2 linked regions of the Saccharomyces cerevisiae S288C genome follow. The gene in region 1 interacts genetically with each later gene. Each region holds a gene or a part of one and is shown in the gene's direction. Other genes may lie near its edges.

Evidence for each region.
Region 2: mutations in YPT7 (region 1) and VAM7 together harm fitness less than expected from each alone (positive genetic interaction), as found in Saccharomyces cerevisiae (3 studies listed by BioGRID).

Annotation. Positions count from the first base shown.
Region 1 is NC_001145.3:265,565-268,463, forward strand, and holds YPT7 (Rab family GTPase YPT7), read left to right. Parts: upstream 1-1,609; coding exon 1,610-2,236; downstream 2,237-2,899. Other genes in the region: VRL1 (Vrl1p), read left to right, coding at 1-1,190. UniProt on the Saccharomyces cerevisiae protein: Ypt/Rab-type GTPases are key regulators of membrane trafficking and intracellular vesicular transport.
Region 2 is NC_001139.9:89,419-92,933, forward strand, and holds VAM7 (Vam7p), read left to right. Parts: upstream 1-2,013; coding exon 2,014-2,964; downstream 2,965-3,515. Other genes in the region: SKI complex subunit WD repeat protein SKI8, read right to left, coding at 636-1,829; NCS6 (Ncs6p), read left to right, coding at 3,094-3,515. UniProt on the Saccharomyces cerevisiae protein: Essential for proper morphogenesis of the vacuole. May exist as structural reinforcement on the surface of the vacuolar membrane and be required for maintenance against rupture by osmotic pressure.

The DNA of each region.
Region 1 (2,899 bases):
TTATATTAGAGAAGGTTCAAAACTCGACCTTCTTCACTTGTTTTGATTATGCAAAAGATCACTCGGTACTAAGCAAGATAGGAGAAAGGGGTGTCAAAGATTCACTTTTTGGATTAATATATTTTCATTCTTTGCGATATCATAATTTAAATGCGACAACAAATATAACATCCGTTTCAAATGCAGAGAAACCTTTCGCCACTACTGTTATTAACATGAAAACAATTCAAGGCTTACTACGCTCAATTCTGAAAGACAATCCGTTCACCTTTTTGCCATTAAATACCTATATCGATGAAATATCGCACTTAAACCGTTCTGATTTAACAATAATCGGGAAAACAGATGTCACATCGTTACTTCACCAATTAACTAACTGCTTCAACGTTCTTTTATTCCTGAAAAAAATTCCAGAAAATTTGTTCACTGATGAGGCTTCTATCTTATATTGGATGCGCATAAACACTTCTAAAAGAAACCAGAAACCCTCAGGAAAAGAAAATCCAAAAACAATGGAACCCGAGGAGATTAATATGATACAAAGCTTTTTACGTTTTAATTTTGATGAGATTTCATCATTTAAGGCAAGCTTGAATATTTTGAGGAAAGTCTTAATATTTATTAATTTGAAATCCGATGATTTCGAGGATGCTTATAAGGGTCTTAACGAAATGGGTAGAAAATTAATTAATAGTGAAGCATCCAGCGCATTTAAGGGGATTATAACAAATCATAATATGTTCAGTGAATTATCGCTAGCAGCACTACTAGAAAACGTGCGTTTCTTGGAACAATGTACTATCCAACTATCTAGTTTCGTTCAGATAATTTTATTTGAAAAAATTCCGAACTGGTGGAAACATTATGGTGAGTTTTTAGCTTTACATAAAAGCTATCGGAAGGCTTTTCCTAACATGGTTAAGCCAAAAAGTGCATCAGATACCTCTAGTCGTGCTCCACTTGGTGGTTTTATTGAAACGAAGCGTGAACAATCGGAGCAAAGACTAGCGGTTCAGATAAAGGCCTCTTCAAAAATGCTCAAAGAACTTGGAAGCGAAATTTTTGTAGCTCACGAAAGGTTGGCCGAGGAACTAAGCAATTATATGGAGTTCAGGAAGGCGTGCTTAGATCAGCGTAGTCTTGTGGCATTTGCCACAACCAACATTAGCGTTCTTCAAGAATGTGTTTAAGATTGACTGAGCATTGCAATATTTTACCTTCTTCTCACTTGTTCTATAGAATTTTTTACCCAAAAATAAGAGATAAAGAGTTTGAAAGAAACATCATTACATATATATATATATACGGGCAGCTCCGTAACTCGAAAAGAGTGACAGCTGTTTTACTCTGTAATAGCTGACGATTCTTCAGTGATTGGAATAACCTCAGAACTCACCGGTACGGGTAACGTTTGTATCTCGCGGATTAACTTTTCGCATTTCGACCTACTGAGAGAAGAAGTTCCTTTTGTTAATCTGTACCTTTATCTTGAAAGCAGTCGTTACAGAGGAACAGCATTGGGAATCACCAACAAAATAAGAGGAATAAGCTCATCCAGTCCACTTCTTATCCATATAGAAACCCCTTCTGTATCAATTCAAATTAAGTGATGTCTTCTAGAAAAAAAAATATTTTGAAAGTAATCATCCTAGGTGACTCTGGTGTTGGGAAGACCTCCTTGATGCACCGTTATGTCAATGATAAGTATTCTCAACAGTATAAAGCAACAATTGGGGCTGACTTTTTAACAAAAGAGGTGACAGTTGACGGTGATAAAGTTGCCACCATGCAAGTTTGGGATACTGCTGGACAGGAACGTTTCCAATCACTGGGTGTTGCTTTCTATAGAGGTGCAGATTGTTGCGTTTTGGTCTACGATGTGACCAATGCCAGTTCCTTTGAGAATATTAAGTCTTGGCGAGATGAATTTCTAGTGCATGCGAACGTAAACTCACCAGAAACATTTCCATTTGTTATACTGGGAAATAAAATTGATGCCGAAGAATCTAAAAAAATTGTATCAGAAAAGTCCGCTCAGGAGCTTGCTAAATCATTAGGCGATATTCCTTTGTTTTTAACAAGTGCCAAAAACGCCATAAACGTTGATACCGCATTTGAAGAAATTGCAAGGAGTGCTTTACAACAGAATCAAGCTGATACAGAAGCCTTTGAAGATGACTATAATGATGCCATCAATATTCGCCTAGATGGAGAAAATAATTCTTGTAGCTGTTGAGCTGTACTACTTAATTGTATCTTCTATTATGTAATCCTTTATAGCGTATCCTTAAAAAAATTAATAATTTAAAACTACTAAATATATTTAGGGATGTGATGGCCCTTTCAATATGAGGCTTTCGATTACCATGTGCAATCTGTCTATGAACCTTAGTTAATTAACACAACTGTTAAATAAAGCGATTTACTACACTTGAGATAATATAACTCAACAAAACGTGACAAAAAATCACATGACTACCTAACAAAATATTTATTTTTCTTTTTTAATATTTGAAAATACTAAAATATTTTTGTTGTTTTTTGAAAAAAGGATTTTTAATGTGTATGCGTTCCGAACTTTAAATATAACGTCAGCGTAAAAATAATTTTTCTCCGAATGTATATCGAAATCTCAAATTGCTCTTAGAGATTTAGATTTCAACGACAGGATAAATTGGCTAGAGTTGAAAAAACTGCACAGAGTATATAAAAGATCTTGCAATGGATGATTAAAATTTACGGTATTTCATTTTTCCAATGAATGGCTTTTCTAAGAGAAATTAATTTCGCAATTTGTTGATGAGAAGTTCTGGCTACCTTAGTCACTATTTATTTTACTATGGCGGTATAAGTTTCTCCCGCCTTGAAAAAAGGAATACAGTAATAAAATGAATATAAA
Region 2 (3,515 bases), on another chromosome or scaffold:
ATCATTTTATTATTTTCTCTCATGAGAAAACAGAATTTCGAAACAGATATAATAAAAAAATTGAAAAATTTGAAAAAAAAAAATCTAGAAACATATTTTCCTAAAATGAAAATCGGAAGCTAACAAAATTTTTGAAAAACGAAATAAAGAAGAAAGATTATTATTATTACTTTTTTTATTAGTACTCCATATGGACCTCTTAGGTGAGTGATCTTATTAAAAAAAATAAAAAAAATAAAAAAATATGAAAAAAAAAGAAAATTAAAAACTAAACAAATTTTATGACAGGAATAAAAACTATAAAAAATGAAAACCAAAAAAAAAAAGCACTGGATTTTTAACATCTTGTCCTTTTCTTTCCCTTTATCATTTTTTCTCATTTACTTTGTTATTAATTTTTTTTTTCAAGTTCTCCACATATACATATGTAAGAATTGAGTCTATCTCTTTCTAATATTTAAGAAATACATAAAAAAACCAATTTTTTTTTTTTATTACTAGCAAATTTATTTTTGTGAAGTGAAATTCATACATTGGCTTATTAAAGGTATTAAATATTACTGAAATTTTATGAACCAAAAAGAATAATGGATGATTGTAAGGTTACATGCAATATATCAAGATATTACTAGAGATTATTTACCGCCAGCTTCTCTAAACCACCTGATGCTTCTATCTAAACAAACACAGCATAAACTTTCATTTAAATCAGCTCCCATACCAGATCTCCAACCTTTTTTCAAAAACTTCACGTCAAAGACACCAGGTTCAGCTAAAGAATCTCCATGTTCATCAACAGCTAAGATATCCTCTTCAATTTCAATATCATCACAATGCATATTCAATGTAGTGATTCTTTCCTTTGTTTTTACATCCCAAAATCTCAATTTACCATCCCATCCGGCACTGCATAATGTTTCACCAGAATCATTAAACGATAGACTCATGACCCAGCTAGAATGTGCAAATTCACCCAGACTTGCCTGCGAGCTATGGGTTGGTACGGATAAGGAGCCTATTCTTTCACCAAATTCAGTTTCATATAGAGTGATGCAACCAAATGAATTTGAATCGTGAGCAATGGCTAATAAGGATCCTTGAGGAGAAAATTTCACCGATCTGATGGAATTCGAATTATTAATCATAGAATGCTGAGATTCAAAATTGTACAACGGGCGTAATGTAGATAGTTCTGAAATTTGTACTGTTCCATTATTAAAACCTGTGGCAATTAGTCCTCGTTCAGAGATATCCACAGAAGTGGCAAATTGACTTGGAGTCATAGGCGATTCGACAGTGCCTTGTAATTCTAACGTGGGGCTCCAATTTAGTGTTAAAGAATTTGACTCATCTGCAAACGGGTGAAACTTCCAAATGTAAGTGGTCCCTTTGACGTCTGTAGCAACCAGCCTATGGGAAAGTAGTCTGTCATTTGAGGCACCCCATTTTAATGCCCAAAAGGAATGCTTTTTCATGTCTGAGTCTAGAAGATCCAATTTCTCGAATATAACTTTTTTAGTCTCATCTTCTCTAGTGATACGATAGAAGAGTAAATCGCCAGAAAATGAAGTGGTAGCAACAAGGCATAATTCAAATGCATCTCTCTCAATAGCTTGCAAGACATCGACATGGTGCAATCCGGACTTATGGACAAAGTGAGAATATGACTTATCTTTTGGATTTTCATTATCTAACAGCTTATTATCCCACACCTTTAAGTAACCGTCACCTGAACAACTTACCGTAAATGAATTGCAAGCAGAAACCGAGAAAATATCAGCGTCATGAGCTTTACCTGCATTTGCTGTGGCAATAAACACTTTGGACATTTTTCCAATACTTGATTAACCTCTTTTTCGTTTCTTGTCTTTATTTTAGATTTGTTTTAATATCGCCTAATTTTTCCTTCTTTACTTTATATTTTTTTTATTTTTCGCCTAAAGATTTGTATCAATTAATTAGCCAACAAAAACAAAAACAATAAAGTCATATAAGGGTTGATAATTGATATTGATGGCAGCTAATTCTGTAGGGAAAATGAGTGAAAAGTTAAGAATCAAGGTGGACGATGTTAAAATCAACCCCAAGTATGTTTTATACGGTGTTAGTACACCAAACAAGCGCCTTTACAAAAGGTATTCCGAGTTTTGGAAACTGAAGACACGATTGGAGAGAGATGTAGGAAGCACCATCCCATATGACTTCCCTGAAAAGCCCGGTGTATTGGACAGGAGGTGGCAAAGAAGATATGATGATCCGGAAATGATCGATGAAAGACGGATCGGACTAGAGAGGTTCCTCAATGAATTGTATAACGATCGTTTTGATTCTCGATGGAGAGACACAAAAATAGCGCAAGACTTCCTGCAGTTGTCAAAGCCAAATGTTTCTCAAGAAAAGTCACAGCAGCATCTAGAAACTGCTGACGAAGTGGGATGGGATGAGATGATAAGAGATATTAAATTGGATTTAGATAAGGAGAGTGATGGCACACCCAGCGTGCGTGGAGCACTAAGGGCACGTACGAAGCTCCACAAGTTACGAGAGCGACTAGAACAGGATGTGCAAAAGAAGTCTCTTCCAAGCACGGAAGTGACTCGTCGCGCCGCTCTATTGAGGTCCTTGCTCAAGGAATGCGATGACATTGGTACAGCAAACATAGCTCAGGACCGTGGACGACTTCTGGGGGTTGCCACCAGTGACAACTCTTCAACCACGGAAGTTCAAGGAAGAACGAATAACGATTTGCAACAGGGGCAGATGCAAATGGTGCGCGATCAAGAACAAGAGTTGGTTGCACTGCACCGAATTATCCAGGCACAACGTGGATTGGCCTTAGAGATGAACGAGGAGCTGCAAACACAGAATGAGCTACTTACAGCACTTGAAGATGACGTCGATAACACTGGTAGGAGGTTACAGATAGCCAACAAGAAGGCTAGACATTTTAACAACAGTGCTTGAATTAATGAGTTACTATCCGGGTTACAAATCCTGAGAGTATATTTGTACTAAAAAAAAAAATTGTAAATCTAGTAATTGAAAAATTTTGGCGATGAGACGATATGGTAAGAGTAAAGCAAAGGAACCGTCATGTCGTTTACTGCTCCTTCAGATCCCGTCAATAAACCGACAAAAGTGAAGGTATCACAGTTGTGTGAACTATGTCATTCAAGAAAGGCTCTCATTAGAAGACCCAAAAACCTGTCTAAACTTTGCAAACAATGCTTCTGCCTCGTGTTCGAGACGGAGATCCATAACACTATTGTAGCAAATAACTTGTTTCAGAGGGGAGAAAAAGTAGCCGTGGGGGCCTCTGGTGGTAAAGACTCCACGGTGTTAGCGCATATGCTGAAGCTTCTGAATGACCGTTACGATTACGGCATTGAGATTGTACTGTTGAGTATTGACGAAGGAATCATCGGATACAGAGATGATTCCTTGGCCACGGTGAAAAGGAATCAGCAGCAGTATGGCCTTCCTTTGGAGATTTTTTCCTTTAAGGACCTCTATGA